2 linked regions of the Schizosaccharomyces pombe genome follow. Changing the gene in region 2 together with the main gene of any one other region gives a genetic interaction. Each region holds a gene or a part of one and is shown on either strand. Other genes may lie near its edges. The genes, in order: toe4 and mug14.

Region 1 (6,992 bases), on a different chromosome or scaffold from region 2:
GTCTGTGCACTCCATTTATTTATTGGCATTATTTAAAGGTCAACAAAAAGAGAAACGGAGTTATATGTCCAGAGGATCGTTTGTATCCGCTGTTTATTGGTTGCTTCTTGTTGCCTATATCAATGTTTTGGTTTGCATGGACATGTTATCCACATCACATTCACTGGATTGTACCAATAATAGCAAGCGCTTTCTTTGGGTTTTCCTTATTAATAGTTTTTTTCGTTTCATACAATTACATTATTGATTCGTATCAACATATGGCACCGAGCGCTTTAGCTGCAGCTACTCTAGTTCGCTATTCTGCCAGTGGAGGCATAAGTATGGTGGCCAGGCCTATGTACCTTAATTTAGGAGATCACTGGGCTACTAGTGTGCTTGGTTTTATTTCTGTAGCGATGGTTCCCATTCCTTTTATATTTTATCGTTTTGGCAAGAGCATTCGTGCGTGGAGCAAAAACGCTTACAAATTGTAAGAACAAGTGTGATTATTTGTTGTTGTTGTGTTTATTTAATGTTGATTATAATTGTCATATCATGCATATATCTATATAGTAAGAGAGTGATTGCAAGCAAAGATGAATTTTGGTGCTTATTCTATTTAAAGAACGAATGGATGTTTATAAACTAATTTAGAAAGTTTTAATAAAAACGTAAAGATTTAAAGTTATTTCGTGTTGCATTCTAAAAGTCACAGCAATCTAAATATAAACTTTTGAAAAGCAAAATTAACCGAGAATGATATATGCGTACGCCAAACAACTGGATTCATACTTATACACAGTTATTTGGGAAATTACAAATCGTTTTTTCTGTAATGTTTGTTCAAATCATTATTGACTAATAAATTCACCAAGCTATTTTCTGCTATATATTTTACCACCATCGGTAAGTGTTATAATTATTAACAGTCAATGAGTATGCAAGGTAAAATTACAAAATATTTTTTGTACTCTTTATTCGCTTTCATGCTCAAATTTTTGTACTAATTTCAACAAATTAAGAATAACGTGCGAGTCAATAGCTTCTTAGTCTGCAACCGATTTGTTACCTACTATTTTTAACCAGCGGAGTGAGACGGTAATAATATTTTCACCGGCAAAATATGCTAACTGCTATCATTTAAGTTAGCAAAAACTCGGCGAGAATTCCCAATGTCTGTTGGCTAAGCGAAAAATATTTTGCGTGGGTATTTCTAAATTTCCGTATCTCCACGGATATACTAATGTTTAGCCATGACATCTGAAGTTTTATGCCCTAAATGTGCGGCTTCTAAGCGTTCTCTGATATAAATTTATGGTTCCATCCGTTCAATCAATATGATAAAAGCTTAGTAAACTTTTATTAAAGGAAAATTTGAACCTTCGGTGAACAGACATTAAGAAGTACTCTTTATTTATATTAAAAAATACACCGTATATCCAAATTTTCTCTGAGAAAGCACTATTATGGGTAGACCACTTACAGAGGTGAAATACCTTTTGATAAATTCAGCTCCGGTAATCCTTGGATATGCCTTGCAAAACTCTTTGCAAACTAGTTCAGTTATTGTAACCGGGCGCCTTGGACCAAGCGAGCTTTCCGTAGCTGCTTTTGCGTACATGTTTGCGATGAGCACAGGCTGGCTGATTGCTCTAGGTGGAACTACTGCTTTTGACACACTTGGCTCCAACCTTTGGGGAGCCGGAAAAAAACAAGAATTGGGAATTCTATTGCAAACGGGTTTCATCGTGCTCAGTATTCTATATCTGCCAATATGTTTAGTTTGGTGGTATTCTAAACCCATCCTAATTTTCTTGCATCAAACACCTGAATTAGCTGAAGCTTCACAAAAGTTTTTACGATACCTTATCCCAGGCGGACTAGGTTATGTATGTTTTGAATTGCTAAAAAAGTTTTTGCAAACACAAGAAATCACTAGGGCTGGTTCTTATATTCTTCTAGTTACCTCTCCTCTTAATGTCGCCTTAAATTTTCTACTTGTCCATTATTATGGATTAGGTTTAAAAGGCGCTCCATTGGCAACTGGATTATCGTACTGGCTTTCATTCATTTTATTAACTCAATATGCGAAATACGTAAAAGGGGCAGAGGCGTGGAATGGTTGGAATAAACGATGCTTAGAGAACTTTGGACCTTTTGTAAAGTTATCACTATTGGGTATCGTTATGGTGGGAACAGAATGGTGGGCTTTTGAAATAGTAGCACTAGTTGCTGGTAAACTTGGTGCTGTACCACTTGCCGCTCAATCAGTAATTATGACCACAGATCAATTACTTAACACAATTCCTTTCGGTCTCGGAATAATTACTTCTAATCGAGTTGCCTACTATCTCGGAGCTGGGTTACCTGACAATGCTTCTCTAACTGCTAAGGTCGCAGCAATTGTAGGTGTTGCAGTAGGAAGCGTTATCATGATTACCATGATTGCCGTACGCAATATCTATGGACGGATTTTCACAAATGATCCAGATGTCATTCAGCTGGTTGCTCTTGTAATGCCCTTAGTAGCTGCTTTCCAAATATCAGATTCCTTGAATGGTACAATGGGAGGAGCTTTAAGAGGCACGGGAAGACAGAAGGTTGGCGCTATAGTTAACATTACTGCCTACTATTTGTTTGCTCTGCCTCTAGGAATTTATTTAGCCTTCCATGGCAAAGGTCTTGTCGGTCTTTGGATTGGACAGGTAATAGCGTTATCCATAGTCGGAATTTTAGAACTGAAAATTGTAATGGCAACTGACTGGATTTCCCAATCAAGAAAGGCAATCTCAAGATTTGGTGACTCCTCTGAATTGACTGCACTACTCAATTAGACATTTGGGTCGATGCATGTAGTTGATCAAGCAAAATAGTTTGATAATAGCTTCATTGTTAACCGGTAATGATGTTCACCATGTACATTAAAGCAAATAAATTATTAATAAAACAACGTTACTTTCATATTTTTTTAAAGATTCCTCATAACATTGGTTACTCTGTCAAAATCCCAACTGTTTAAGTCGTTAAGTTCAAAACCTTCAACGATATCTTTAAAAGTAGAATCCGTAACATCATTATTTTTGGCACTGCAAACTTCTTTAGCAACCCGCAAAAGTTTGTCTGCAATTTTGACAAGTTCCAAAGCCACGTCACTAACTGGCTCCATTTCCATAAAAAAATCGTAAATTACATGTAAAAGATCCAAATCGTTAAGTAATGTTTCTGAGTCCGTTTCCGTATCAGTTTCGTGAACAAGGTTATTAAATATTATTAAAAAAGGTGTAAAAGGACAGTATAGGAATATCCATAGCGGATCTGCTTTAACATTGACCCTGAGATCAATGTTGAGTCTATTTTTTAACAATTGAACTGCTTCACGGGCTGCATTAATACAAATCCTTCGATTCTCTGTCGACGAGCTAGGTCTGTGTAATATAATTAAAGTGTTTAAGTAAGAAAAGTAAACTTCCATACCTGCGAAAGTTAAAAATTCGAACCGATCGCTAAGCGATATAGTGGGAGAAAAAGTGTTGTTTAGCAACATTTCATGATACATTTTTATTTCAGAAGGAAGGTTTTCTTCCCACGCTTTCAATTTTTGATGTATTGGTATGATGATTTTTTCTCTCGCTGCCATTTGCGTAGGTGACTTCACGCTGTATAGTCGATTTCGTATTTCACTCTGAATTATTGTCAACGATACGGTAGGAACAAATATCAAATCACCACCAGATTGTACACCAAACAAAAGCTCATATTTGCTATCAGGCAAATTACAATCAATATCCTTGTCGTTAAAAACGGAAGGGGTTCCAAAAATCAAAGAAATATTTTTATCGAGAATATAACACATCCAAAATATCCTTTTCCACGATTCAGCCTTTTCAGGCTCCACATCAGTGGATTGCTTTCTATGTAAGTTTAATTGTTGGGCCATGAGGCAGGCTTGGCCGCACAAAGTCCGACATAAAGAAGAGCTAGACAGGTAAGCTGCGTACTGTGTCATGACAATTAAAGCCTGAACTTTGTCAATGCTCGGAGTAAGAAAAAAGTCGGACTTTTGAACAAAAACCCAAGCTGTTGAAAACAAAGACTCTGCAAGCGTCTTTGAGTTACCAAGTCTTTTCCTAATGCTGCTTAATGCTAAAATAGAATAAAAAGAAATTAGCCAAGCATTATTGCTATGGAACCCGAACGCATAAAGACGTTCGAACTCATACATAAAATCATTATATACGAAGGTAGGCCACCACCAATTTACATGCTGAAAGTAAGACGTGACTAACTCATGGGCTACTTCCTTCTTGGGAATGTCATGGAATGCCTTCTCCCAGTCCGGCAACTGTGGAGGGAACAAGCTTTCCACATTCAGTATCCGAGTAGGTGTATTGTCGACAGGGCTACCTTGTCTGTGTTTAATAACAATCGATTCTGCATCTTTAATTTGTGTAACCAAGGAAGGTAATTCAATAGCCTTATTTTCACGTTTAAATTCTGAAGTTTCAGTAGCTATATCTAACAACAAATCGATTTTTTCTTCAAGCAATTTAAGGCGTCTCTGAACGGATTCTTCACCATCCTCGGGTTTTTCAATGTTTTTACTAATAGTTCCATTAGTAGTTAATGCAAAATTTTCTTGATTTGGAATTGAGTGATCACTCGGTTCTGGCTCATTGCCGTTAATACCAGCGGCATAATCAAACACGGGTAACGTAATTCCCCCAAACGTCTCCTTGCTTCTTTGAACAAGTCTCTTACGGCGAGCACGATTAGAATAATGACAGTCCGCTTGAAAAAGAGTACAAGTCTGACATCTTGGTTGCCCTCGACTACATTTAATCTTCTTCAACCTGCAAAGATCACATGCTTTATTTTGAGACATCTTATGTTAAGAAAAGAGTAATTAAACAACTATCTTAAATTCTAGCTGAATGCGTATCAATTGTAAGCAAGCATTACCGCCTTTGGTGCAGTTTACTGTTAAAAAGCATATACATCTGCAGATTTATTTTAGCACTACTCAAGTCGTGCTTAAGTATAGGTTATAAGGGAAGTGATGATAAGAAAATCTGGACAAGACGATAAGTATACGTACTCGAAAGATAAAAAAAATTTTATATAATCTTATATTACTGATAATGATAACAGAGCCACTAATTCATTAAAAGACATTAAAACAATATTAAGCTATTTAACTAAGACTAGGAACAAAAGAATAAAAAAGAACTGTTAATAAACATACAATTATAAAAGCACAGTAAAAATACAATGAAACAGCGTAGCTGTTGCCAAAAAGAAGAGTTAAGAAAAGTATAACACTCAGGTTAAATTACTCTGTGATTTGCTTCTGGTCAAAATCTTTTGGCAAAGGTAAACTGCTTAAAGATAGTTCATTTAGTGGAACACCAGATATGTACTCGTTCTCCTGTTGAACAGTAGGTATTGGACCTGTAAAAAAAGTTTTACCACCAATCTTTGGCAAATAATAATACACCACGCAAAAGACCATTACAAATCCAAGGACCACTATAGCCCAATTCATCTCATCTTGGTTGGGCTTTTGATATTGAGGAAACAAAAGCATAAGAATCATAAACCACATCCAAACTAATGACCATAAGGCTGCTGGTTTGCTCCATTTTCCAACGTAGAAAACACCAGGTTGAAATTTATTGTACACAAATCGACACATAAGAGGGCCGGAATAAGCGATATAAAGAGCAATAATTGCTAAATTAAACACAGAAGAAATGGCAGTGACATTAACCAAAATTAGTAGACCGACTAAAAGGCTATAGAGTAGCACTAAAAGAATTGCATTTAAGGGAACTTTCTGTTTAGTCAAAAGACGTAAGTATCTACTTCCTGGAATCCCGCCGTCTCTGCAGAAAGCAAATACTTCTCTAGATGCAGCAATCAGTAACGAAATGCAGTTCAAACAAAGGGCAATGACCAGCAAAGAGAAAATTCCTAAAGCTCCCTTATTTCCAACATTGTTAACCAGTACTTGAGCTACAGGCTGGCCTAAAGAGGAACCTAGAATGGCATTAAAATCGTGACCCATAGTAGCTACAACGGTGATAACGATGCACCATCCAAGAATGGTAGCCACACCAAGACTGGAAATCATAGCAAAGGGAGCTGCTTTGGCAGCATTCGTTGATTCTTCAGCAACAGCGGCGCTAGATTCGAATCCGCTTACAACCCACACAGGAGTAGTGAATGAAAGTATAAATGCCCATCCCATGTTTGACCATCCAGAATAATTTGTAAAATCACCGAATATAAAACTTCCAGAATTTCTAGTAGTAGAGTCAGATCCTGCGGCAAGGGCAATAATAAGAATAATGGATACAAGGAATTGGAAGGTAATATTAATGATGTTCACCTTCGCGATAACACGAGAGGGAATTGCAGTCATGGCAGAAATCACGAAAAGCAACGCTGCGTAAATTCCGTACTGTTCATATTTTGTAGGTGAATAAGAAGGACTACCTATCACAGCTAGTGCCTGTACCATAGATGATGCAGAGTACACTGTTGAAGCATAAATCGTAGCGTAGCCAAGCACTGACACGTAACCACAAACCCAGCAGAGAAATGCTCTTGACGATGGTGATGCTAGGGTAAAAATCCAAAAATAAAGACCTCCAGAAGTAGGCATAGAAGACGCCAGTTCGCCCAATGATATACTTACTGGAATCAGACATATACATCCAATAATCCATGACCAAACCATGCCTCCTCCTCCACAGTTCATCGAGAAAATGAGTGAACCCGCCATAGCCGGACAAAGACCCATTGATCCAAACGATTGACCAAAAATGCTAACGTAAGAGAATTCTCTAGTGAATTCTGGTTTGTAACCAAGGCTCATCAGAAGCTCATCATCTTGATTAGCTTCTCTGCTTTCGCCCAACTCAACTTCATTTTCCCATTGCTTCTGATTTTGTTTTAAGCTTTCTTTGTCGATGTCACTCATTGTAAATGCTGAATGTGAGTCGTCCTTA
Region 2 (3,945 bases):
TATATATAAGAGAGTGCTTCAGCTTCATAATCAGTTTTCATGAGCCAAATAAAATCATTATTAAGCCGATGATAGAAAATAACAAAAAAAAAGCAAAAATATTTTATTTTCTCTGTAATCATATACAATAAAGCAAACTCGGTCCTTATTGAACACTGGCTATTTTATTAATGCGCATCAATTTGAAAAAAATGGTATGTTAGCAGCGTTCGCTACGCCGCGATGCATTTGCCACACAAAAGATGGTAATTATTTAGACTTGCTAGACTCCAAAAAATATTTTATTTACAGTGCATCAAATACGACTTGAACTTCAATGATAGATTCTATTACTTCAATGAGAATTATTTTCATCTCCTATTATTCAGTTGCCTACACGCTGCAATATAACAACGCACTGCTTTTCAACGCTATTCACTCATAAGAAACTGCACAACCCAAATGAATATTAAAAGTCATCTGAAACCATAATTTAACGAATTATCGTAATATTTGAAATGGTTCGTAAACATTGTTACGTTAAAGTACCTTTCAAAAGTTACATTCTACGCTATATTTTGCGTTTTAACTAAAGGGGAGTTTGTAAAAATTTAATTGACATTACATAGGCTTTAAATAGCAAAAAAAGGACATAAATGAATTTTAAATTTTTGCTACAAATACTGTAAAAACGTACAGTAGAGTTGAGGTAAGAACGTATCAGACAAATGCATTACTCAAATTATTTCTAGTTCCCCATTTGAACAAGCAACTTCATACAAAAAGTTGGGTTGTTGAGCAGTGTATAGACCCACTGGGTTATCAGCATTTTCGCGAATAGCTTTGGCACGAGTGGGATGAACGTGCTTTCTTTCTCCCACCTTGGTTGCACTATCAATTAACAACTGAATTTGGCATGATCGCTCCATCAATGAAAGAAGATATGCTGCCTCATCCACAGTAGTACCAACTGTCATAATGCCATGATTCTGAACAAGAACAGCTTTATAATCTGCTAATCCTTTAGCGGTACGTCTTCCTTCTTCTGGCATCGATATCACATCATCCATGTCAAAATAAATTCCATGATTATTATAAAACACACAACAGTCTGTGTTCAACATATCCAATGGCTTTCCCAAAGCTGAAAATGCCTTACCGTAAATTGAGTGTACGTGACAAACACAAATTACCTCAGGTCGCACTTTGTGCATTTCATAATGGATGGCAAATCCCGAAGTATTATACTTCATCTTGCTTCCACCAATGATTTCGCCATCGCTGTTGATATGAACCAAATCGCTAGGCTTCATCAAGGAAAAGGGGACTTCCAAAGGATTTATCCAAAAAGTATTCTCATCAATTGGATCCCTTACAGTAACATGTCCTGCTGTTCCTTCATTATATCCATTTCTACCAAACATGCGAAAAGCTGCAGCCATATGATTAAGCATCCATTTTCTTTTAGTATGTAAGTCTTCAAATTCAGGCAATCCAGTTACTTTAGCCATTTTGTATTAAAAAAAAATAATTCAAAATGATATTAATTTCTTTGGTATTTCGACAGTGCAGATATAGGCGAATTATTGTAATTCACTTTTAATAGCTTCAGAAAATAAAGACAATTTCATTCGTGAACAGAGTATGTATATAAATAAAATTTTGATTCCTTTGTTGATAATTACCCTTTCGAAATAGAGGGGTTCGAAACGATGAGGGGTTGGCTGGCCTGTTCGTGGAGTAGTGAAAAACTTTAAAGTAAATACATGATTGAATTCATTTTCATAAAACAAACAGTAACACAAATTAGATTTAATGCTTATTAAGAACAACTGAACATTTTCAGTTAATAAAAATGCTTGTAACGCACATTTTCTCAAGCAAATTTCAACAAGTTCTTCTTGCTTAAGATACTAAAAACCGTCTTTTTTAAAAGGCCAGAACTGTTTTGTCACATGGGGGTCTTAATATTTTAAGTTATAATTTGCTTTTTTAAAAAACAGCAAATAAGATTTAAATCGCAGAATGCTATTAAAGTTCGTTCATGTTGCGAAGGTTCCCCGGTTAACCTTACCAAGCTCACAAAAGCTCTGGTTCTTCACGATCTTCTCCGCATTTTCAACTTTATATGATCAAGGTTAATTCAATCAATATTATTGGACAGATCAATTTAATTACAGTGACATCATAAATAGAAGCTAACAAACTTACAATAGGAATTGTTAACGATTCTTCACTAAAAGTAAAGTACTCTCTACACTTCAAATGAAGCAAATTATATAGGTTTTTTTCGTGCTTCTTTTCATGTTCCTTTGTTCGATTTTTTATTTTTTTATTGACTGCTCTGAAAGGCATTTTAAGGAAAAATATTTTATTTTTTTGGAAGCAATGCCTTTAAGTTCACTAGATCGTTCTGGAGCGATGTAGCTTGGTATTGAATTTGTAAACATTAGTATATTCCAAAATGTTACCCTAAAAGTTTAGAAAGAAAATGTACGCAATGATGTTAAGGCTGGTGCTAACTTTTGATAGAGACGTTAGGACTTAATAATTACAACTTTCGTTATTCCGCCGAATTTAATTTTATGAATTGCTACGGTACCAGAATATTATCGTTCTATTTGAGTTAACAGGAAATCTAATACGCGAATGAAACTAGTAAAGTCTAGGTGAATGTCAATTTGACGAAGCATTGCACGGTTTTGCAACGATATTTTATTTGATATAAAGCCATATTTTTTAACACTCTAATTTCAAGTAAACATCTAATCATACTTACCCTCCTCGAATGCTAACGCTTTTTTTTCTTAGAAATTTGATCACTTTATATCCCGAAGCCTTTACGTTTGATTTTCTTTTTAATATACTGTATGAGTTATTTTAAATCTATTTGTTGTACTGCGCCATATAATCTAATCATATTCATTTCCAAAAATTTAAGTATTCATTCATTACCACAAGAATATCAGGCTAAACGTACAAAGAAGAGTAGATAACCAAAAAGTTAGCGAATTAAACCGTAGATATCAGTGATACTGCTTTTACGAACAAAATTATCATGTAAACATAAAGAAAACTTCATTTTGTATATATATATTTTTCTGAACGTGTAAAAAACCAATAGCTTCAATTGCAAGTATGATATGATATCTAGATTTATTGTAATACAGGTAAAGAACGATTAAAAATTATTAAATGAGACCGCTTTCTTTAGCCAACGAATAAAACATCGAGTCTTTGTTTTCCAACAATTTTTTAGTTGCATCAAATTCAACCACTTTTCCATGATCTAAGACTAAGATGCGATCTGAATCCATTACCGTATTAATTCTATGTGCAACTGTTAAAATTGTACGATCTTTGAAGCGTTTGCGAATGGTCTGCTGTACAATAGCATCAGTTTCAGCATGGACTGATGCTGTTGCCTCATCCAGCAATAATATACGGGTCGAAGTAAGTAAAACTCTTGCTAAACATATTAATTGGCGTTGACCAGACGAAAAATTTGCACCTCCTTCAGCAACCCTAGAATACAATCCATCTTCCAACTGAGAAATGCAGTTTTTTAGAGAAGCAATTTCTAATACCTCCCAAATTTTTTTATCAGTTAGTCTATGATTCGGATCAAGATTTTCTCGAATGTTGCCCTCAAATATTTGACTTTCTTGTGGAATGATAGATAATCGCGAGCGCAAGTCGTATAATCCAAATTTCGTTATGTCTTCGTTATCTATTTCAATTTTTCCTTCAGTTGGTTCAATTATTCTAAACAATGCCATCGCCAAAGTTGATTTTCCTGCCCCGGTGCGACCGACGATACCGATCTTTTCCCGTGGGGAAATTTCAATGTTAATGTTATTTAAAGCAAAGGATAAGTCCTCACGATATTTAGCACTATAATGATTGAAAGAGACTGCCCCATCAGTGGGCCATTCACAAGGTGGTCGATTCTCTGGAATAATTTCC

What was found.
Region 1: mutations in mug14 (region 2) and toe4 together harm fitness less than expected from each alone (positive genetic interaction), as found in Schizosaccharomyces pombe (one large-scale study listed by BioGRID).

What each region holds. Positions count from the first base shown.
Region 1 is NC_003424.3:115,245-122,236, forward strand, and holds toe4 (transcription factor), read right to left. Parts: upstream 4,990-6,992; 5' UTR 4,865-4,989; coding exon 2,951-4,864; 3' UTR 2,817-2,950; coding exon of another isoform or gene 1,449-2,816; 3' UTR 810-1,448; downstream 1-809. Other genes in the region: mfs2 (MFS family membrane transporter), read left to right, coding at 1-476; SPOM_SPAC11D3.06 (MatE family transporter), read left to right, coding at 1,449-2,816; SPOM_SPAC11D3.08C (amino-acid permease), read right to left, coding at 5,312-6,964.
Region 2 is NC_003423.3:126,370-130,314, reverse strand, and holds mug14 (adducin, involved in actin cytoskeleton organization), read right to left. Parts: upstream 1,706-3,945; 5' UTR 1,491-1,705; coding exon 717-1,490; 3' UTR 573-716; downstream 1-572. Other genes in the region: multi drug resistance-associated protein abc3, read right to left, coding at 3,171-3,945. UniProt on the Schizosaccharomyces pombe protein: Has a role in meiosis.